Cricetulus griseus: one gene and its partners. The protein of the gene in region 6 interacts with the protein of the main gene of each other region in a pairwise test. Links are inferred from orthologs where the notes say so. Each region holds a gene or a part of one and is shown on either strand. Other genes may lie near its edges. The genes, in order: Ewsr1, Arhgap19, C3H16orf70, Rad23b, Dnm2 and Atxn3.

What was found.
Region 1: the proteins of Atxn3 (region 6) and Ewsr1 interact in binary tests that used the Homo sapiens proteins (3 or more experiments, as listed by UniProt). The link is inferred for Cricetulus griseus from reciprocal best matches to the Homo sapiens genes ATXN3 and EWSR1.
Region 2: the proteins of Atxn3 (region 6) and Arhgap19 interact in binary tests that used the Homo sapiens proteins (3 or more experiments, as listed by UniProt). The link is inferred for Cricetulus griseus from reciprocal best matches to the Homo sapiens genes ATXN3 and ARHGAP19.
Region 3: the proteins of Atxn3 (region 6) and C3H16orf70 interact in binary tests that used the Homo sapiens proteins (3 or more experiments, as listed by UniProt). The link is inferred for Cricetulus griseus from reciprocal best matches to the Homo sapiens genes ATXN3 and PHAF1.
Region 4: the proteins of Atxn3 (region 6) and Rad23b interact in a two-hybrid assay, tested with the Homo sapiens proteins (2 studies listed by BioGRID and IntAct). The link is inferred for Cricetulus griseus from reciprocal best matches to the Homo sapiens genes ATXN3 and RAD23B.
Region 5: the proteins of Atxn3 (region 6) and Dnm2 interact in binary tests that used the Homo sapiens proteins (3 or more experiments, as listed by UniProt). The link is inferred for Cricetulus griseus from reciprocal best matches to the Homo sapiens genes ATXN3 and DNM2.

The regions. Positions count from the first base shown.
Region 1 is NW_023276807.1:99,798,542-99,802,609, reverse strand, and holds the start of Ewsr1 (RNA-binding protein EWS), read right to left. Parts: upstream 2,801-4,068; 5' UTR 2,627-2,800; coding exon 2,614-2,626; intron 1-2,613. UniProt on the Homo sapiens protein: Binds to ssRNA containing the consensus sequence 5'-AGGUAA-3'. Might normally function as a transcriptional repressor. EWS-fusion-proteins (EFPS) may play a role in the tumorigenic process.
Region 2 is NC_048596.1:19,760,191-19,763,690, reverse strand, and holds part of Arhgap19 (rho GTPase-activating protein 19), read right to left. Parts: coding exon 3,450-3,500; intron 685-3,449; coding exon 604-684; intron 1-603. UniProt on the Homo sapiens protein: GTPase activator for the Rho-type GTPases by converting them to an inactive GDP-bound state.
Region 3 is NC_048596.1:181,512,141-181,516,209, reverse strand, and holds the start of C3H16orf70 (UPF0183 protein C16orf70 homolog), read right to left. Parts: upstream 2,801-4,069; 5' UTR 2,550-2,800; coding exon 2,486-2,549; intron 1-2,485. UniProt on the Homo sapiens protein: Plays a regulatory role in autophagic activity. In complex with BCAS3, associates with the autophagosome formation site during both non-selective and selective autophagy.
Region 4 is NC_048595.1:88,507,044-88,511,125, forward strand, and holds the start of Rad23b (UV excision repair protein RAD23 homolog B), read right to left. Parts: upstream 2,801-4,082; 5' UTR 2,471-2,800; coding exon 2,405-2,470; intron 1-2,404. UniProt on the Homo sapiens protein: Multiubiquitin chain receptor involved in modulation of proteasomal degradation. Binds to polyubiquitin chains.
Region 5 is NC_048597.1:134,342,718-134,346,217, reverse strand, and holds part of Dnm2 (dynamin-2), read right to left. Parts: intron 1,848-3,500; coding exon 1,712-1,847; intron 1-1,711. UniProt on the Homo sapiens protein: Catalyzes the hydrolysis of GTP and utilizes this energy to mediate vesicle scission at plasma membrane during endocytosis and filament remodeling at many actin structures during organization of the actin cytoskeleton.
Region 6 is NC_048598.1:104,076,435-104,079,934, reverse strand, and holds part of Atxn3 (ataxin-3), read right to left. Parts: intron 706-3,500; coding exon 541-705; intron 316-540; coding exon 271-315; intron 1-270. UniProt on the Homo sapiens protein: Deubiquitinating enzyme involved in protein homeostasis maintenance, transcription, cytoskeleton regulation, myogenesis and degradation of misfolded chaperone substrates.

The DNA of each region.
Region 1 (4,068 bases), on a different chromosome or scaffold from region 6:
TTTTCCTTTGAGACAAGGTCTAACTACTTAGCCTCAAGCTAGCTACAGACCCCATACCACTACAACTCTCTACAACCTAATTACCGAGATTACAGGTGTGTGCTACCTTGCCTACTTGTCACCTTCTTTTGTTTGTTTGCTTTTTGAGACAGGGTCTCACTATGTAGCTCCAGCTGGAACTATGTAGATGAGGCTGGCCTTAAACTCTATCTGCCTCTGCTTCCCAAGCTCTAGGATTAAACTATGACTGGCTACATTCTTCATACGAAATAAAATTTTTAAAAACTACGTCCTTCCATGTAGCATTTGTAAAATACACCAACAAAGCATCTAAATCCAAACACTGAAACCTTCATTTTGTTAAAGTTTCTGTGCCAAAAAAAAAAGAGATTTTTGAATCACTGACATTAACCTCAATGTTTACAAAAGACTTATACAAGAGCAGTTACATAAAATTGGCAAAGCTGATACAGAACAGCTAACCAACTCAAATCAGTGTGAAACCGGAGGATTTGGTGGGCTAAGGGAAGCAACCACCCTAACTCATGTGTATCTACCTAATACAGTATACAAATCTCCTACTGTCTCAAACACGGCACTGAAACAACGGTCTGATAATTTAACAATTGAAAAACTATACCCCAAAATACAGTTAAAGAGGCAGGCAAAGGGGCTATGATGGGTGCGGAGGGCTCAAGAATGCCTGGTAATGTTTACTTCTTGTTCTGATAGTAGTTATTTGGGTACTATAATTCTGCTTTATTGGACATACTCTGTAGGCACTATTCTACAAGATACAGATGGAGGGAACTATATTCCCTAAGGCAGAGCCTGACTCAGGGAAGTCACTAGCCAAGCTGCAGAGATGTGGAGATTTAGGCTACATAATGTCTTGGAGCCAACAAGCATTTCTTGGGTCCAAATGCTTTAAGGACTGAAAAGCTCAAGAAACCACCTCGACCCCCTTCAGACAGGGTTTCTCTGTGTAGCCATGGCTGTCCTGGAACTTACTCTATAAGACCATGCTGGCCTCAGATCCATCCAGCTGCTTCTGCCGGGACTAAAGGCGTGTGCCGCAGCCAACACCACCCGGTGTCAAGAAAACTTTGAAAAAGTCTAGCTAAACTCTATTTTCCAGGAAAGGACACTAAGTCCTAAGTAAGATTCCCTCAGCTGGGACAAGGCTGTGGACAAAGCAGAGCATGTTTTTAATTCGAATATGGTTCAAGGTGGTTATCAGCAAACAGGATTTGAACAAAGATGACTAAAAAGCAGCAATTATCAAGCAAAAATCTGCAATTGCCTTGTTTGGCTTTAGTGGGTAAGAAGGCCCACCAAAGAAGCCATTTCCCATCAGGATGTTTTGGGCTGTAGTTTCTCGGTCTCTCTTTAGGGACACTTTTGGTAGCCTGCTATCAAAAGCCAGCATTTACCTGTTTACTGACTACATCGTTGGCGTCGCTAAATTGTGATGCTGGAACCTTTCCCAACCTTCCCCCCCCCTCGATTTCTCCTACTGTCTCCAAAGGCCATATTTCAAATCCCTAATTCCTCCAGAGGCAAACAAATCGCCACCGTGCCAGCTAATCGCGTACCAAACTGCTGGTGCTCGGCTACACTCACTCGCTCATTAAGGACAACATTCGTCACATCCTAGAGTTCCCACCGCCGACTTTTTAAAGTCGGCTACCGGTCTCCTTTCCCTGGCCTCAATAGGGCCAAGAAATAAGCCTGCAAGCTTAATGAGCAAACGCGCGGGGTGAGGCTTTCTGTTTCTCCCAGATCAAAAATGCTAGAAATTTCTGGTTAAGATTCTGCTCTCCGGATCCACACGGCCTTGTTACACAACCGATCCCCCGCGCCGTTTGCTGAGAAAAGGACCCCGGGAAAAGCCACTGCATTTTTTGGATAGGGAAGGTGGTGGAGTTAACACATGATAAAACCGAAGCCTCCGAGTGGGAAGAAGGCAGATCTGCGGGACCCATTAGGTTTAAAGGTGGAGCAGGCCCACTCCGGGTGCAGCCTGGTAGCGCCGAGGCAGGCCTGGAGGATAATGGGGCTCCTACTCCTAAGCCGGCGCCCCTCGGCGCACACACTCGCGACGCCTTTTTGTTTGTTTTCAAATCTGAGTCTTTACACAAGAAACACTTGCCCTCAGGCTAGCAATGGTAAGAGAGGTTACGGGGGCAACCGACCGCGGCTCTTCGAGCCGCCATCCGACACCCCGCCTCACGCGCCTTCGGGGTGATGGGCTCGAGGCCCAGTCGCGGTCCCCTTTGGGCCTCGGAGGCCGCAGGCCCCGCCCACGTGGCGGGAGCCCCGGAGCACCCACACCGACAACCGCCACACAAAGGAGGCCAAGGCGAGCCCCGCACGCCCCAGCTACCGCGAGGCCCTCGCGCGCAACGCGGGCGCCGGAAGGTTCCAGAACCAGCCCGCCTGGTGGGGGAGGGGGAGGGGAACGCGGACCCCCCGAGCTCGTCGGGTCGCGGCGCGAACTCCAACCCTTTTCGGCAATTCCACTCAGTCATCTCTGCCACCCCCAGAGACGAGCGCCCCCCAGTTTGGGTGTCCCGGCCGTCGCCAGCGCGACCGCGATCCCACTCCACTTACCCGTGGACGCCATTTTCTCTCCTTCCTCCTCGTTCTCTCAACGTCCGTCTCCCTCTCGCGTTCCCCCTAGGCGCCGCACTGCGCAGGCGCGAAACCCGCAACCTCGGACGCTACCATAGGGCCGGGCCGCGGGGGTGGGCAAGGAGGTTCGAGTCCGTGATAGTCTGGTTCTTCGCTCCCGAAACCGTTGACCCAATCCTCTCTAAAGAGCCGGACGTGACGCGCGGGCTGAGAAAGCACCTCAGGGGCCAGCGCGCTAGTGAGCGAGCGTCACCAACAAACCCGAGGGATCGTCTGCACGAGGCTGGGTGGTTTGGAATGGTTACGCCCGCCGGCTCTAGGGGCCGTCTCTGAAGAGTCTGTCCTGGAGGGAGACGGAGGCTGGCGGGAGCGCTGGGGGAAGGGATCCCGGCCTGGAACAACTGCTGACTAATCGGCAGGCGGGATCACGCGCCCGCTGTGCGCGCAGTGGGTTTGGGGCACCTAGATCTCGGCCGGGAGCTGGCGGCCTGACTCCCAGGCGGCCCCCCCCCACCCGGTCTTCAGGGTAGGGGGAACGTGCTTCTGGGGACCTCGGACGCGTGGCCCGAGAGGGCGGGGGGAGGGACTGAGGTCGGTCGGCTGGGGAGGGAGGCCGGGATTGCCGCGGCCGACCCCCTTAACCGTCGGAGTTGAGAAGCCCTGTACTCGTCCTTCAACCAATACCCTTGTTTTAGCAGAAAAGGAAACCCGGGCTCAAGAAATTGAGTACTTCCCCCAAAGTTACAAAGCTGAACTCGACCCAGACCCCGGGACTCCCCCCCCCTCTGTGTACCACCCGGAAGCATCATCTTCCCTGTCCTTGAATTCCCATTCTGTCCTCCTGGCTTTCCAATAAGGTAGGCAGGGTGTGATGGTGCATAATTAAGAGGTCTCTGTCGAGGGTTCCAGAGGGACATTGAAGCGGATTGTTTGCGTGTGAATTTTTTTAAGAGTTACTAACACCATGGACAGACTATACAAACACTAGCATGGCGGGCGTGGACTCTGAAGAAATTAGGGCCCATGTGGGAGAAGTAGGCGTGTCACACCTTTCTAAGGATGGGAGTGGTTTCACCGCTTAAGTCTAAAGCCAGGCTCCCAGATTCCCTGGCGAGAGGGCGGCAAGAGAGTGGGGAGCTGGATGTGTGGCCACCAGTGTAAACTCACTTCCTCAGGTGAGAGATCCAGGCACCCGGAGTCTGTTACCTAGGGACTCACCGTGAAAAACTGCTGCTTGTGTTGTGTGCTAGGAGCAGCAGATGAATTCATTACTTGATTCTTACAAGTTTCATTTTATTAATTGAAGATACGGTTGGAGACTGGCCCAGAGCACTGGAGGCCCAGTTCTGTATGTCTATGGACCAGTCCCTTAGTGCTCAGGGATGAAATGGTTGTGAGAAGGTGCAAGAGGAAGCTTCAATTTAGGTGACCCTG
Region 2 (3,500 bases), on a different chromosome or scaffold from region 6:
TAATCATATCTTTTGCCAAAATAAAAAAAAAGTAAAAACTTTTTAAAAACCCACAAATCCAGACACCACAAACCCTTTCAAGACTTGAGTCCACAATCTCCATTGTGCTCTTCCTACACAGCGTCGAACACCCAGCAAGTCAGAAAGGCATATTTGATTGGTATTTAAATGTATCAAGTCACATAAAAGGCTTCACATTTTACATGTTCTTAGCTATGCTGAGCTCTTAGAGCAATGACACGACCCACAGGACCACTAAAAACTAGATGAGATTTCATGTGTACATTAATTACAGAGCTCTGAAGATGGAAGTATTATGCTTTCTTGAACAGATGTCATAATTCTTTAGGAACAAAAAGGAATTCTTCCAGAATTGTCTAATAGGTAATTATGATTTCATAGACATTATCTGCTTTACCTTCATCTTTGAAAGCAAAGCAAATCAATAATTGACATGAAATTCCAAAGGAAATATATTTTTAAAATCTACAGCCTGAAAATCGGTTGTATATTTCTTTGTTGATGGGTAGTTTGGCATCTACTAACCCGTCAACTCTCAAAGGAAAACTGGCAATTCTTCATTAAATACTTAAGTAGTCTTACTTTTGTGCAGATATTCAATCAGTTGGTATATCTGGGCAATGCCTTCCTCTGTCAGTGGAGATCCAAATACCACTCCTTTTTCTGAAAAAAATATGTCACAGGGCTTTATGACATAAAGAGTACAAGGCCATCAATGTAACGATTCTTTTTACACATATTCATTTATTCAGGGAAAGGGGGCATGACAAACGTGGTGTTCAAGGGACAACTTAAGGAAGATGGTTCTCCCCTTCCACCATGTGGTCCTGGGGCTTGAACTCAGGTCATCAGGCTGGCAGTGGATGCCTTTACTTGCTGAGCCTCCTTACTAGCATAAATACCATGATTTTAAAAGCATTCAAGCATTCTACTTTCATGTAATGTTTTCACAGCATTGGTAAACAAAAATTTTAAGAAAGTAAGACTAAAAACTAGAAATAAACCCCCAAAAAATGCTGCCAGAACAACTGTCAAGTCAATTCTCTCAGAGAATTCAGCATCAGCATCAGATCATGAATTCCTAGAGATGAAGACTTTTCCTTATTTAAGAAACAATACCCAGCACATTGAGATTTAATTTAAAACAAAAAGAGAACCTGAACCATGACTGTGAGTCATGACAATTATTCACTAGAACTGGTATAGGATATGATCTTTAATGTTTAAATATTCCATCCTGCCTTAGTGATTTTCTTATATTTAATAAAATAAAATAAAAATAATAAAATCAGGGCCTCTTTAATATTCTGTCAAAAGTAGTGCTCCAGGAATGGAGAGATAGCTGCTCTTCCAGAGGACCAGGGTTCAATTCCCAGCACCCACATGGCAGCTCACAACTGTCTGTGACTAGTTGCAGGGGATCCAACACCCTTATACAGATATACATGCAGGCAAAACACCAATGCACAGAAATATATATATATATATATATATAAATCATTAAAAGAAAACAGAAGTAGTGCTCTGCACTTCCTGATAGGCTTTGAGGCATGTTCCAAGGGAGAGAATTCATATCTGGTACTGTAAGCCTGGTCAAAAGCCCAAGGCTGGGGAGGTCCATAGGCCTTCAGGAGCAACCTACTATTGTTTTGCTAAATTGTCAAGCTGTTAAACTGTCTTTAAATGTGTATGCTACAGATGTGAGCTGCTCTCAACCTCAAGCAGAAAACCTTTTCCAAGAGGGCATCAGTTAACGTAGAGACTCATAATGGTCACAGTGCTGTGAATAGCTGATATCAATATCAGCATTCTCTACAAAGGGTTCAAGGAACATGAAATAAAAGGGGATGTGTGTGTGTGTGTGTGTGTGTGTGTGTGAGAGAGAGAGAGAGAGAGAGAGAGAGAGAGAGAGAGAGAGAGCACCAGGGGATGGAGAAGAATGCTGTGAAATGCTCTCTTCTGGACATGAAACAGCCACTGTATTTATGAATTCACAGCAACTATGGTTACCTGCATAAGACCCTCACAAGATCAAGTAATCATTAGCATTACAGCCACACACCCCCTCCCCTAGCTGAGGAGCTATTGCTGCTGATGGCTGCTGGAACAGGGAGAGCCATTTTTCTCTGAGTGTGTAGCCACTAGTAAATTCTTCATGTTCCCATAGCCCTGGGCATACAGGCAGCACAAATCAGACTCTGTAGGTTATTTTTTAAAAAGCTAGGCAATAGTGGCACACGCCTTTAATCCCAGCACTCAGGAGGCAGAGGCAGGTAGATCTCTGTGAGTCAGAGGCCAGCCTGGTCTACAGAACGAGTGCCAGGATAGGCTCTAAAGCTACACAGAGAAACCCTGTCTCAAAAAAACAAAAAACAAAAACAAAAAAGCTACCCTGTTCTACATAGCATGTTCTAGGCCAGCCAGAGATACACATGAGATCCTGTCTAAAATAGACTGAAAGGAAGGAAAGAGAACATGAAACTCAGATGGGGATATACTTGGGCAGAGTCCAGGGGAGTTGGAGGGGAAGGAGGCAGACAAAATATATATCTATATAGATATATAGATATAGATATAGATATAGATACATATTTGATCTTCAGTAATTGTTCAGGCTTCCTTGACTATACTACCCTGATATGTAACTTTATTTTCTCTGGTATCATTTTAACTGAACAGAACAGTGCATTCCTGTAGTCCCAGCTAAGGCTAAGGCAAGATGATCACTTGAGCCTAGTGAGATCAGCCTAGGCAACAGAGTGAGACACCAACTCATTAAGAAAAAGAGAAAGGAAGAACGGAAGGTCACTTGAAAAATATTATTTTAGTACAATAACTGGGCATGAAAACTAAGATGCCCTTGATAACTGCCTAAACTAATCATATCCTCTTTCAGGCACTGAATATATCTTCTATCTTCTCTCCTTTCCTCCTTCTCCTCTTTTTCCTCTCTTTCTATGTGTCCAAGTTGCCCTCAGACTTCAGATACTCTTGCCTCAACCACCCAAATGCTGAGATTACAAGATTTGCATCACCATACCAGGTTTAAGTATTTCTTCACATAGACAGTCTTATAATTTTTATTATTACTGCCTAAAGTTCTACTAATGAAAATGAGGGGAGAAGACGAAAAAAGCTTTAGGAGAATTACAACTTCCCAGTGAGAGTGAAAATGTTAAGGGGATAGAGCACAGTTCTGGGAGCCCCTTCAACAGTTAACAGCATTGTTACTCTGGCAGAGGACCTGGCATGGCTCACAACTGCCTGTAACTTCAGTTCCAGGGCATCTGACACCATCTTCTGGCTTCCGTGGGCACCTGCATATACCTGGTACACAAACAAGCAGGCACAATAGATAACATAATTTCTAAATTCTTTTCAAGAGAATAAAGCCCAATCAGCAGCAAAAACCCAGACACAGGACCTACCCTTCCGCTTGAGAGACATTAGAGACCTGAAGAACCCTGCGGCTGGGCCAG
Region 3 (4,069 bases), on a different chromosome or scaffold from region 6:
CCCAAAACAAAAAGCCCTTATTTTTAAAACTTGTGGTTTGGCATCTCATTGGGTAATTTCTAAAATGAGCCTTCTATTTCCTTTAATAATGTACTTATGGGTGTGGTGGCTAATGCCAGAGGTAGGCAGGTGGATCTCTCAGACCAACCTGGTCTACATAGCTGAGTTCCAGGATAGCCAGTGCCATGTAGATACACTGTCTCAAAACAAACAAACAAACAACAAAAAACAAAAACCCAACAAACAAAAATTGGAATCCTGGGATTAAAGTCCTGTGTCATCACACCCAGTTCTGGATTTCCATAAAACTGCAGATTTTAGGGCCAGTAAGATGGCACAGTGAGCAAGGGTGCTTATTGTCAAACTTGATGACCTGAGTTTGATCACTAGGACTCAGATGGCAGAGAGAACCAACTCCCAACTCCTGCAGGTTACACATACACACACACACACACACACACACACACACACACACACCACACACACACACACACACACACACACACACACACACACACACACACACACACGAGTTCCTCCCCCATACATTTTTTTTTTAAATGTGTATGGATGTTTGCCTGCTGAAGCCAGAAATGGAGAGTGTGTGTGTGTGTGTGTGTGTGTGTGTGTAAAATCAAACTCTGGTACTTCCCTCCTAAATAAATTTAAAATAACAAACACAGACTTGGGAGCTGGAGAGATGCCTCAGTGGTTAAAGAGCATTAGCTGTTCTTTCAGGGGGCCCTGGTTCAATTCACAGCACCCACCGGGCAATTCACAACTGCTTGTAACTCCAATTCCAGAGGATTCTATATACTCACAGACAAACATGCAGGCAAAACAATGCACATGAAATAAAACAAAAACAAACAACCCCCCAAACCAGACTTTAGATGGATATGGTGGCACACTCTTGTTTGATCTCTAGTACTACACAAACCCATTTGGCAGAAATATTATAGGTCAAAATCAACTTCAGCTACATAGGGAGTTTGAGGCCAGTCTGGGCTAGGACCTGTCTAAAACACAAACAAACAAATTAAACCCAACTTAAAAACAAAAACAACAACAATGAGAATGTTTACAAGTAATCACAAAGGTTCAGATCCTTCCTGAGTTTCCCCCCAAAGTTCAACTCTGAACCCAGTGTACTATTATTTTTGGCTACTGCAGACAGTTTGAAAGAACTACTCAAATCCTTGGTTCCTGAAAACTGGCAGCTTAGGGTTTGATTGTCAAACATTTACCAGGAGTCCCTTGGTAGTTAGTTAATATAGCTCAGTGTTCTGGAAATGTCCTTACCCCAACCAATCTCCTATATTCACTAAATCAAACAAAGAGATCCAGTCTAATTGTACCATCTGAAGTCTGAACGCTGTGGTTCTTAGCCAGTGCAGGAAGGTCTAGGTTAGGTAGGAGTTGTCAGGGAAGAAAAGGATATTAATTAGAAGTCAAACACCATTAGTTCTTCAATCAAGCTCCTGGTGCCTCACAGTTGAATGGAACATTTTCATAGCACATTCAATTTTGCTAACTCTATAAAACAGGAAAGTCTAAATTCTGAGAAAAGAGAGCCAAGACTCCTTGATAAAACTGACTTCTACAGCCGGCAGGAGGTAGGCAGCCACCGAGCCCCAGCAGGTTCTTTGCAGCAATCTACCCAGCTAGTTTTCTCCAATATGCTGTTTCTATAGATCTGAATCTTTTACATTCAAGGATAAGCCATAATCAAATGGACCAGCTGACTCAGTCTAGGAGCCCACACCAGAGTGACAGAGGTTCAGGCCCACACAAACAAGCAGCAGCAGCTGTTTCCTACCCCTCATTTCTTACCGCTGGCATAAAGTAAACACACTGGAGTTACTAAATACAAATATTCTTGTTCACATAAAAGGCCCAACTAACCCAAAAGTGAACAAACTGAACTGTCTACAAAGCTGTGTGTAATTTCCACTTCACTCAACTTTTCACTCTGGCATCTAGTATTACGACATCACACGTTAAGAGAACGAGTCAGAAGTTCCTTTAACAAAAGCAAGCTCAATTTCCCGCACCACTTGATTATGAGATACGAACTTAGGTTTTCCTTCCAAAAGAGGTAACCCATGTCCCCCGACCCCTCTGCACCTTTCTAAAACCAAAGGAAGATAGATCAGAGACCAGGGGGTTGATCAGGGGTGCTACCCATTTATTAACTAGCCTGCAAAATGGACATAGCAATCAACAGTATCTATCCTCAGACCCCAGGGATGGTTACTAGAGACCAATTCAAAAGCGCAGGACCTTCTCACAAGTATCTGGGGTGTACCAGCTCCTAAGAGGACCCTGCTGAAGCCCTATCCTATGACCGACGGGAGGAGAGGATATTTAAAGCCTGGAACCAGAGGGTACGAAAAGGCGGAGAGCCGCGGACGCAGCGGCATCTGGGGCAGAGACCAGCTGCGGAAGGGGCCAGCGAATAGGGTCTTGAAAGGATCCCACTCACCCAGCGTGAATTCCCATTGCTCGTTCCCCAGAGAGCGTTCAGGCACCACCTCCAGGTCCAGCATTGGTTCGGTTCGCAGGGCCGGGCGGCCTCCCTGCAGCAGCGCAGACAGGACCCGGCCTGGGGAGACCACGCAGATGCTGACTCGCCGCTCTCGCCAGCCCGCGGACGTCCGGCTCTCCACTCCGTTCCGGACAGCGGCAGAAGCACCGACACAACAACACACTTCACCTCCCTTCACCTCCCGGGCAGCAGCCGCGGCAGGACCAGCAATAGCAGCAGGCGCGACCGGAGCAACTGCAGCAAAAGTGGCGTGCCGGGCCGTAAAGCGTGGCAGAGGCGGAGCTCAACCTAGGGGGCGGAGCCTGAGGAGGAGTCACGCACGCGCGAATTCTGTAGTGGAGGTCTGACCGGCGAGGCGGCGGCCGAGTAGAGCAGGAAGGACGGCTGCTTTAGAAGCTAAGGGCCACATTCCCGAGGCCCTAAAAAAATGCATAGCACCCCATACGTGCCTACACAAGGAAAGGGACAACGCCCACAACACATCACACAAAAATAAAGCTGCCGTATACACACCTGCCAGGACAGGAAGGCTCAAAGACTCACGGCCTGCGGGCATCCCACAATCATCTCTGTCTTGCCATAGTACTGACGCCGGCTGCAACAATCTTTAGCTGTGCAGAAATGGACTCCTCCTCGGACCTAGTTGTTTCTGAGCGGGGTCCACCTTATAGTTGAGGATGTGCGAGTGTTGGGTAAGGGCTAGGGGCCAGAGGATTGAGTGAAAGGGCGAAGGGTTCCAAGCCAGGTCTCATCCACAAGTGCTCAAGTTTGGGGCATACGTTCTAAGGATAGAGGCTGCCTCCAGCAGCTCCGCCTGAAACCAGCTTTGCTGCTTGCTAATGCTTTATGGTCTTGCCCAAACCCTTTAGCATTCTGTGCCTGTTTCCCCTGAGTGAAGAGGGGCATCTCTGGCTGTGTTTAGCCTTAACTCTCCGCCTGTCTGCACTAGGGCATCCCAAAATTAAAAAGCTGCGGAAGCCACTTTTGATGACAAGACTTTGCACCTTCAGTCTCATAGAGGGATAAATGGGGCTTAGGGAGTTTATCCAAGGTTTCTTGATCCTAGGAAGCAGAGCTCAATTACCATTATTGTGCCCCAAGGATTGTATTTAGCAGGGAAGTGACAGACTAAATACTCAAACTGGCTACACTGGAGCATACAGGGGATGTTTCATCAAAATTTGAAGTCATTGCTATGGGCACTAGACAAAACAAAACTAGTAGGATGTCTTTGAGTAGCATCGTTGCATGCCAAAACAACAACTGGGTCACTGGGATGTCCAGTGGGGAAGAGGATGAATAAAGGCTGTCACGTGTAGTTAGATATGTTTAGAGGCTGGGTGTGGTGTTTGTGCCTGCCAGAAATCCCACAGTTGGGCTATAAGGAAGTTCAAGGTCACGCTTGAGAGTTCAAGAGTTCAAGGCCAGCCTGAGACACTGGGGATGAGTCTCCAAAAACAAAAAGTGGATCCCCACCCCCACCTAAACTGATCTTTAATTCAAACCAGACTGGGAATTATT
Region 4 (4,082 bases), on a different chromosome or scaffold from region 6:
AGAGGATCTCTCTGAGTTTCAGGACAGCAAGGGCTACATAGAGGAACCTGTGGAATAACAGCAACAAAACCAACTAATCTAAACCCTGATGGGCAGTGGCCATATAGCTTGTATCCCAGCACAGGGGAGGCAGAGGCAGGTGGTTTTCTGTGGGTTCCAGGCCAGTCAGGACTACATAGTGAAACACTGTCTCAAATACATGAGTGAATAAACAAATAAAAGAGAAAATGTGTGTGTGCTAAAGTATGTACTCACTATAGATGTAAATAAAGAGGGTATGGGGCAAGTACTGGTACAGAGCTTGTCTAGTGTGCATAAAACCCAAACCAAAGTCCCTGTACTGGATCCCCAGCAACAAGGGGGAAACATGGAATCAAAACATGCCTTATAAAACATTTTTAACACTGGTTTTTATATTACATTAACAGTGACAAATATTTGCTCTAGTAACCAAAGTCAAAGAAGTCACTAACAACTTATCAAACATGTATTTCTAAAAGTAAAATATTACATCCCCTGGAAATAAACTTGTAAGCAATAAGCAAAGTTAGGAATTTAATACTGCACTGGCTTAAAGATAAGAGCAGACATGTAGAAGGCCTAAAGTGTGGCACACATTTTATACAGCATACATATTTCAGTAATATGAAGTTACTGCAACATCCCAACAAATACAGATATTAAAGAAATAAAGTAAGACCTATTTCTGTTTTGGTGATTCTGGGATAAATTAATATTATAAGCTCAAAAAGCTACCATGACTTATTTCATCATTTATCACCCCCAATGAGCCAAGGAAAGCAAGCATTTTACATACTGTGCTGGTGATGGACCTTAGGGACTCACACATGCTTGCATCCCCAGTCTCGAACAGTACTCAGTAGTAAAGGAAAATCCGTTAAGAATTTTATTCTACAGAGCCACAGTCCACTAGGTTATAACCAATGCTTCTGAGAAGATTTCAGAGTTCTCATATGTAATTGGTTATTTTCTGTACCTTCAAGAATTACTGCAGAAGTCTGCAAATGAAATAACTGCATATAAAATCATTTTGTGCCACAATTTCAAAAAGGTCGGAATTCTCGGCTTCTTAAGAATGTAGGAGATTGCAGGGCAGTGGTGACACACGCCTTTAATCCTAGCACTCCTTTAATTCCAGGGAGGCAGAGGCAGGAGGATCTCTGTGAATTCGAGACCAGCCTGGTCTACAAGAGCTAGTTCCAGAACAGCCTCCAAAACCAGAGAGAAATTCTGTCTCAAAAAAAAAAAAAAAAAATGTAGGAGACTTTACAATATTAGATGAGATAGGTAAAACATAATACAGTGTCTTCACAGAAACATATCTATACTGATTACGTAGTAGGGCTCATTTATGAACCAACTAAATAAATGCCACTTAATCCTCACATGTCTGTTGGTGCTATTCCTGCTTCAGAAAACGAAACAAGGTAATTTGTTCACGTTGTAGTAAATGAGTTACAGAGCCACAATAGAACTCGGGTCTATTTAATTAACACCTCGTTCGTGGATCTTCAACCAAAATAGAATCAGTCATTTAAAAAAAAACCCACAAATATGCAAAAATTTGCTGGCTTACTACAATTCCAAGCACGTGAGGAAATTTACACGCATGGCATTTTTAAGAGTCCTGACAGAAAGTTGTATTAACTTCAATACAGTACATCTTTTTATAGGCAGAACTTAAGACCACAGCACTGGAATTTATCACGTGAACTCGGTAAGTGTAATCGGCTCTGGACGCAAAGTTTTTGTAGTCTTTTTTTCCTCCCTTCCAATACTACTACTGTTCTGGGAGTCCGAGCGTGCAGGTTCCCAAGACGACGGAAAGACCTGGTTTAAATCGAGATCTGAAGGTTTCTAGTGCAAAAATTCACCACCGAGGCCCCAGAGTGTAATCTACCTGTGGGTGTGGGTTCGGTGGCTGGGGAGGGGGGGCGGGGGACGTAAAACTATCCAAGGTAAGATATATATAAAAGGGTTCCTTCGAAGAGGCAAAGAGTTCATTTAACCCACTGGCTGCAGACAAAATCAGGCACATTTAAGGCCCATCATCTTGAGTAACCGACCCCTGAACCTCCGCACCCAACCAGGTCGTGGGAGGGTGGTGGCGACGCCTGGGTCTCCCTCCCCCACCTGTGTGTGCACTTCAGGCCAAGCTCCAGCGCCCAGGCCTCCAGGCCTCCCCTCCCCCTCCGGCCCCACGGACCACGCGCTCCGGGCCGCGGCCTCCAGTGCCCGCGCGGGCCCGTGCTGCTCCACGCCATCAGCCTCCAGGCCTTCCCGGTTCCCGGCCCACAAAGCCCGCGGTGACCTCACGCCCCCCTGGGGCCCTCCCGCGCCACCCGGACCCGGGCCCGCGCTCCCCTCGCCCTGCGGAGCGTACCGTCTCCTCCGGGTCGATGTCGATCTTGAAGGTCTGCTGCTGAAGGGTCTTCAGAGTGACCTGCATGGTGCCTGCGCCAGGGCCTGGCCGCCCCGGGGTGGCCGCGATCCTCGCGCTCTCAGGAGGAAGGCGGTGGGGGTGGGGGCTTGTCACATTCGCCCCGCCGAGTCTCGCTCGCCCCGGGCCCCTCGTCCCCTGGCCGCGCCGCCGATCCCGCCGCCTTCGCCGCAAGCTCGGCCAGCGGTGCCTCCTCACGCGCCAGCCACCGGGCCCGCAGGAGGCGCGAAGGACTCCCCGACAGCCGCAGAGAATCCGCTACCTCACCACAGGATGGTGGCCGCCATCACCGTGACTCGCCGAGACGTGCCCCCTCCCCCACCAGAAAAACCCGGAGGATGGGGCCAGACCCGGGCGATCTGAGCAGGCGCGGGGTGCGGCGAGGCAGTGCGCAGGCGTGAACAGGAACTCCGCCCGGGAATTGGAGGCGGGGCGATGGGAGGAGCTGGAATGTCGGCGGCGCGCTGCGGGCGTGCGCAGGCGCACATCGCGGGCCGCGGCGCTCTGGGCGGCCTGGTCCGGTCCGCCCGCCTTCCGTCGCCCCGCCTACGTCCAGGCTCCGCCTAGCGGCCCGAGTTGCGCAATCCGTAGCCGGGGAACGGCTACGTGGAGACCGGGTTGAGTGGTTGAGGAGCAAGGAGCATGGAACCTAGAGGGCGGTGGAGCGGGCGGAGCCTTAATGGAAGGATTGTCTAGGGCCGGCCCTGATGGGGCGCACGTCGCGGGCTGTGCGTGTGTAATGCCGGTGTTGCTTCTCTGATCCCGCGACAGACTCCAGCGCTGTACTGCTTGCTTGCGCATCTTGCGTTCTCTCACTGGCCTTGGGATCTCCGACCTACAAAGAAAGGCGGTTATAAGAAGGAGGCCTAGTTGTTTCACGCCTTTCAAAGCTTCGTTTGCTAAACCTGTTGTGGGGTTATTGGTGGCTATTAAGCAGTTGCCCTCTGTCTCACCCCAAGCGCTTTCCTTTACACCTGGGCCCTTCTAATCTTTGCTCAGATGTCGCCTTCTAGGTGAAATCTATCCTGCCTACCCTACTTTAAGTAGCAACTTATCCAGATCCCATTATCCAGCTTTATTTTTCTCTAACATTTATGACCTTCTGATCACTATATATACAATATATGTATTTAGCATGCATGCCATCTCTTCCTTTACCCTAACCCCCAGCCTGAAGCTGCTCAAAGACATGGATTTTGTTCTGTCTACAGTACACCCCCAGATCCTACAAAATGCGTCTAGCATTGGACATTGGAGGAATGGGTGGACATGCTTCTGGTTCCTTAGCAGTAAAAGTGAGATGTCTCATTGGTGGTTGGAGAGAGTGGAATGGTGCAAGAAAGTCTTAGTGTCAGGAGCATAAAGTTAAGTGCTTAGCTTTAGCAGTATGTCCATTTACACAGATATAAGACTGGAGTGCAGAGGTGTCAAGTATTAAGCACCCAGTCACAGGACTAGTAAGTGACACCATAGGTGCTTGTCTGTATGCTGCTTCTTACTAGTTAGACTTAAAAAAGTGAGAATGGATGAAAAGCAGTTACAATCAGACCACAGTGAGGGCAATTACAAACGACCTCTCTGAGCCAGTATCCTCAAGGATACAATATCACTATTTGGATTT
Region 5 (3,500 bases), on a different chromosome or scaffold from region 6:
TATCACTGTAGTGATATTCACCTCCGCACCTGTAGCACCAAAAGGGTGTGGTCACAGGTGTGGATGTGGTCAGTTAAAAGGCAAAGAATTGGGGCTGGGAAGCCCTTTCGGGTCGTAGACAGCACCAGGGTAACAGGGTCTGCATCCTTGGAGCTGGAGCAATGCATAGTCACTTGTTTCCTGTGTAAGTTCTTTTTCCCCAATAAACTCCACTTCACTTATACTGAGTCTAGTGAATCCTGATTTCCATGCCTATAGGCACCCCCAAAATCTATTTGGTAGAAGGAAAGAACTCCTAAAAGTTGTTCTCTGACCTCCACACACTAAATAGATACCACCCCTCTCACCACACACACACACACACACAAAATTATACATAAAGCTGGGTGTATTTGGCTGCAGAGATGGCTCAGCATTAAGAGCACTGGCTGCTTTTGCAAAGAACCTAGCACCCACATAGTGAGTGGCTTACAACTGTCTATAACTCTGGTTCCATGGGATCCTCTGCCCTCTTCTGGCTTCTGCAGGCAATTAGGTATGTGTACTTACACACATCAGGACAAACACTCATAAAATAAAAAAGATAAAGTCTTTTCAGTCAGCAGGTCTAGCCTACTGGTTAACTTCTAGGCAGATGAGAGATGCCATCTCAGAAAAAGGACAGGTGGACCAGGGCTCTATTGGTTGAGTGCTTGGCACATACACATGAATAAACTGCATGTGATAATAAACATGACTGTAACCCTAGCACAGGATGATCACAAGGTCATGACTGACTGAGAATTTAAGGCCAACTTAGGCTACAATGAGACCTTGCCTCAAAAAATAAGAGTAATAGCTGGGATTGGGGGGGACGGGGACGGGGACGGGGACGGGGACGGGGACGGGGACGAGCACACTCCTTTGGTCCCAGTTTGAGGCCAGCCTGGCCTACAGATTAAATTCCAGGACAGAGAAACAGTCTTGTAAAAACAAACATAAAAGCGAGTGACACTGGATGCTGTCCTCTGACCTCCATACTGGCTGGTATGTCTGCACCTATGCATGCAAGACAGTCACTGCCTCAAAGGAAAAGGACACAAACGCACACTTTGCTTACTTTTTTTGTTTTGTTTTGAGACAGGACTTCTTGCTATGTAACCTGGTTGTCCTGGAACTCAGAGACTGACCTGCCTTTGCCTCCCAAGTGCTGGGATTCCTGGCTTTTGTTTTTGATTTTGTTTGAATTTGTTTCACTTTTTTGAGACAAAGTCTCCTGTAGGCCACATAGTTTCAAACTCACTTTCCTCCTGAGCTTACAGAATTCTGGAAATATTGCTGTAAGCCCAGAATTGTATAAGATTTTTATTTGTTGTATGTGCATGTTTGTAGGAGGGGCTGAGGTTCATCAGAGGAAACTTCCCAGGAGTTGGTACTCTGCTTCCTATTGGAGATAGGTGCCTTTACCTGCTGATCCATCTTGCTGGCCATCACGTATCTTTTTCCCTTCATCAATGGAAGAAACATGGACTTTCCTACTGTCCTGCCCAGAACATCTAATCTGTGAGATCTGGGAAGATGGATGTGACATGCCCTTCAGGCCATGTTTACTGACAGCAGCCTCCAGCATGATGCAGAGCTCCTGACATCTTGCTTTGGAAGAAAGTTTAAGGCCACGACAGAGACCAAACACATCCGGGTGTCTGATGTACCCTCCAGACTGACCACCTACCTTTACCAGTTCAAAGGGAAAGCGTTCATGAAAGATGCGATTGATTCGGGCCCCCCCAGACAGCTCCAGTGTGTCCACTTGGTCTCCAGAGCCCTCGATTCGCTTCTCAAAGTCCACTCCAAACTGCTGGACCATCCTTCAAGGAAAGAAAACAGCCAAGACAGAAGTTTCTGTGGCAAACTTTGTTTCTTAAAAAGACATTTAAGTTACATGTACTTACTGGGGGAGGCATGCCACAGTGTACAAGTAGGGTTGGGGGTGCTGTGGGAGTCAGATCTCTCCTGCCACTATGTGAGTCTTGGGGATAAGTACTTGGGTATCAGTCTTGGCAGCAAGCATGTTTACCCCCTGAGCCAACTTGTCAGTCCTGTGGATAATTTTCTTGTCTTTTACATTTTGTTGTTTTTGAAGACAGGATCTTGCTTTGTAATCCCAGGTGGCCCTGAACTAAAGACCTTTATGCCCAAGCCTCCAAAGTGCTAGTATTACAGGTGTATGTATGCCACCATGTTTGGCCATTTTTTGTTCCTTTTAAATATAACTTGAACAGCCAATGTATACAAGGGTTTTTTTGTTTTGCTTTTTTTTTTTTTTAAAGATTTATGTATTATGTATACAATGTTCTGCCTGCATATGTGTCTGAACTCCAGAAGAGGGCACCAGATTTCATTATAGACGGTTGTGGTGGTTGGGAACTGAACTGAACTCAGGACCCCTGGAAGAGGCCTCTGGAAGAGCCAGTGCTCTTAACCCCTAAGCCATCTCTCCAGACTATGTATACATGTTTTTAAAAAATGATTAAAATAGCACAGCTGCTTTGGCAAGCACTGGGCACCATCCTGGTTGTTCTCATGGACTCTATGCAGCCCTTGATTTATCGTATGACTGTCAAGACAGCAGGTCCCAACAGGCCAGGGGGGCATCTGTAGTTTCTGTTGCCTCTCTACCCTGGTTGCATAGGGCTCCACCATAGACAGGCTGGGAAAGTTTGATTAAGTGGCACTGCACTGTGAGCCTCAGTCTGAGTATATGCAGAGCAGGCTAACAGGATGAGCACTGGAGTGCTTGGCAACCGTTAAGCAGCACATAGATAGTTTGTGTAACAACAGAAAAAGAGAAGTGTATTTGTGGGAGGAAGGGTGGTCAGCAATCTGGTTCAATGTGTAAAGGCACTTGTCACTGGGAAGAAAATGATGCAAGGAAGACACCGACTCCTCAATGTCACCCTTGGATCTCTACATTCTGGGCTATAAGATATGCACCCCCTCATCCCCTCAAAAAAAAAAAAAAAAAAAAAGGAATAAAAGGCTGTAAGGATTGCTGCTGTCACAGACTGCTTTTGCCACCACACTCAGCTGATCACAATATATTAGCTCATTCTCTTGCTTTTTTTTTTTTTTTTTTGTGCCATGTGTGACACAGGCAGGAGAAAGGATGCTGTCCAGTGTCTTCCTAAATCCTTCCCTGTCTTACTGACAGTTTCTCACTGAACACAATTTGGCTGGACAAGCTGCCCAGGGAACACAGATCATTTTGTCTCCGCAATCCCAGTGTGTGGATGCTTATCTTATATTACATGGATGCTGGAGATCCAAAACTCAGGTCCTCCGACAACTCTACCAAGTTAGCCTCCTTTCCAGCTCCTGGCTTCAAACAATTCTTATCTCATTTTATTAACATGTGTCTGGGTGAAGAACAGAAGAGGGCATCAGATCCCCTGGTGTTACAGTTCTAGGTGGTTGTGAGCTGCCATGTGGGTGCTAGGAACTGAACCCAGGTTCTCTGCAAG
Region 6 (3,500 bases):
TACATAGTGGGACCCTGCCTGTCCTAAGCAAGCAAGCGACCAAAGCCCTGTTCTAAATGAATAGTCTACAGTTCTAATGTTCATCTCTCTGTGGACAGCACTCTGGAGCACAGTCTTATCCTCTCCAGACAGTTTACCGAGGGAACTCCTGAAGGTTCCATCGTTACATAAAAAGCTGTGCCAGGCTGTGCCACATCAACCGCAAACGGAGCGTGAGCACAGCAGCGCTGAAAGTGAGGCAGCACTTCACACACACTCTGGACTACTTACTTGAATAGAGAAAAAGCCACTGTCGTCCATATTTCCAGAAGGCTGCTGTTCAATTTTCATGGGCAGTTGTGGGCAGAGGGATGGGAAAAGGATTAAAAACTGTCATTAGTGTGCACATTTACAAGAACATGCTGTACAGTCCCATTTACCAAGAGAAGAGCAGAGTTATAATTAACAAGTCAGACTCCGAAGGGGAGAATGGCTCATCCTCCTTTAAAGAACACCCGCATGTTAAAAATAAACGGGATTTGGTAAGTCTGAAATCAGTACCTGTAAAAATGTGCGATAGTCTTCACTAGTAACTCCTCCTTCTGCCATTCTCATCCTTTCTTCTTCATCGAGCTGGTGTGCAATTGAGGACAACTCCACGGGGCTAAAATACTCCCCTTGCAATAGATTATTCAGGCAATGCTGAGCACAAAGTGAGCCTTCTTGCTAGTGTTTCCAAAAGAATAAATTGAAATGTGATTTATTAAGCAGATTTATATAGTATCTTCTAAAAAATTTAATTATAACTTTTTAATACAGTCAAACATTATTAGCCTTAGGCAAACCCGATTTACAGGTATATGCATTTTCATTTGTCCACACTTATTTTACAGCCATTTAACTATAGGAACAAAAATGAAGAATGATTTACAGTATAACTTCATCTATCCCATCTCATATAAGCCTAAAAGTGGCCCTATAAAAACATTTAGCCTTTTGAATGTTTTAGTACCTACAAGAATTCGTCTTTTGAGATTCCATGACAAATTACTTCTGGAAAAAGGGAATGTTATCTCCTAGAACATTCATTCTTCTAACTAGTTTGTTGCTATTTGACCTTAAAAGCCTGTCCTTTCAAACTCAGGAACAAGTGGGAACAATTCTGTTTTGGGTTAAGACCCACAGCTCTAGAGCTGAAGCTCTCATCGGCCGACTTTGCAGACTCATTCCATGTAGCATATAGGAAAGAGAAGTGTCCCAAGCTGACGACAGTCCATACCCATGAGTGGACAGGCTAGCGAGAGGAACTGCGGCCAAGTTTAGCTCCCTAAGGAGTCCTTAGCATCCTCTCCTGGAGGTTGGGTACATCATCCCACAAGTCAAGTGGCTTCTAATGCTGGTTAGCTGGCTTTCATACACAAATGGAACGCACTAACCAATCCAGTCAGCCTGACACTGAGCAGCCTTCTTGTCACTCCCCTGCTCCTAACAGTGTTGCTTTCCTAAGCTATGGGTAAAGAGTGGATGAGTCCAGTGGACACAGACCCTAAGCCTGCCTTCTGGGAGGCAGAGGCAGAGAACACTTCCTCTGTTAACTCTGGCTCTCTAAGGGCCAACAAAGCCTACTGAACTCAACCTGCCAGGCATCATGCCCCATGGTCTAAGCTGTTACATGACAAGTGATGACTCCAAAGCACACCTTACAAGATTCACTTTCCCCTGATGAATCAAGGTTATAGGAACAAAATGTAACTGCTGAAGTAGATATAGTACACATGTCTGTCATGGAACAGGCAGAGTTCAGAGAACTTACATCTGACACACAGCTAGAGCAAGCTTATGTTCACAGTCTGCCAAGGCATGTTGCCTAGGGTGGCTTGGAGCTAGTTAAGTATCCCTTCAAGTTGCAGTCACATGGTAACAGAATTCTTTATCTCTGCCTTGTTTTCCTTCTACTGTCCATCTACTGCTAGGAGCAACTTTTACTGAATACCACCCACTACGAGGTAGAAACGTACAGATGTTCTACTTATACCCTATTGAAAATGCAAACATTTCACAAGATAGTCAAGAGGCAAAAAAAAAAAAAAAAAAAAAAAAAAAAAAAAAAAAGATCTCAACTTCTGTAGTCATCATGGACATGTGTATCAAAACCGTAGCACAGGACAAGAGGTGGCTTAGCAGGTGAAGGTGCCCACTGTAAATCCCCAGATGCTACTGTAGAAAGAGAGAATGACTCCTGGGTACTTGCCCTCTGACCTCCACATGCACACCTGGCCATCTGCATGCCAGCACTAGCATGCATGTCACACACACACACACACACTAAAACAATGATTTTTAAATATTATACTTATTAATTGATTGGCTGGAGGGGATGCAGAGGACAACTTGAAGAATTCAATTTTCTCCTTCCATAATGTGAGTCCCAAGGACCGAACTCAGGTTTTAAGGATTGGCAGTACGTGCTTTACTTGCTGAGCTATCTTTCCAGGCCCTAAAAAATGTTTTTGTTGTTTTTCAGACACGGTCTCACTTTGTAGCTCTGGAACTCACTATGTAAACCAAGCTGGCCTCAAACTCATACAAATCTGTTTGCCTCTGTCTCCAAGTGCTGGGATTAAAGGCATGCACCACCACACCTAGCTAAAAATTGTATCTTTTTTTAAAGATTTTATTTATTTATTATGTATACAAAATTCTGCTGCCATGTATATCTGCACACCAGAAGAGGGCACCAGACCTCATAACAGATGGTTGTGAGCCACCATGTGGTTGCTGGGAATTGAACTCAGGACCTCTGGAAGAGCAGTCGGTGCTCTTAACCTCTGAGCCATCTCTCCAGCCCTAAAAATTGTATTTTTTTAAAAGATTTTATTTATTTATTTATTATGTATACAGTCTTCTGCCTGCATGCAGGCAGATGGCACCAGATCTCATTCAAGGCGGTTGTGAGCCACCACCATGTGGTTGCTGGGAATTGAACTCAGGACCTCTGGAAGAACAGTCAGTGCTCTTAACCGCTGAGCCATCTCTCCAGCCCCCAAAAGTTGTATTTTTATAAAAGAAAATTTACAATGTGTTACTATTATCCAGTCTCTGGGTCAGCTATTACAGAGGAGAGGTTTAGAATTATAGAAAATGGTTGTCACAGGAGTTAAGTATAACCTCGGGAAAGCACTCTCCAGTAACTTTCATCTCTACCAGAGCTCATCCATGTGCTCTGCTGTTACACACAGACACTGCAAACGCACTCACCAAAGCACTACTTGTATGCTTCCAAACTGGAAAGCACCCCAACACAGTCTAGATCACAAAAGTGTACTTCCAAAAGAACAGTATAGAAGGATAAAAGTAAATTAAATACAAGTAGCTGCAACAATGTGGATGAATCTCTCAAATACTCTTAAAAAATAAACACACACACACACACACACACACACACACACATAACACTAAAAAAAAGTAGACACAGGAGGTAAGGATGTAGCTAGTGTATGCAAGCCCCTGGGTTCGATCCC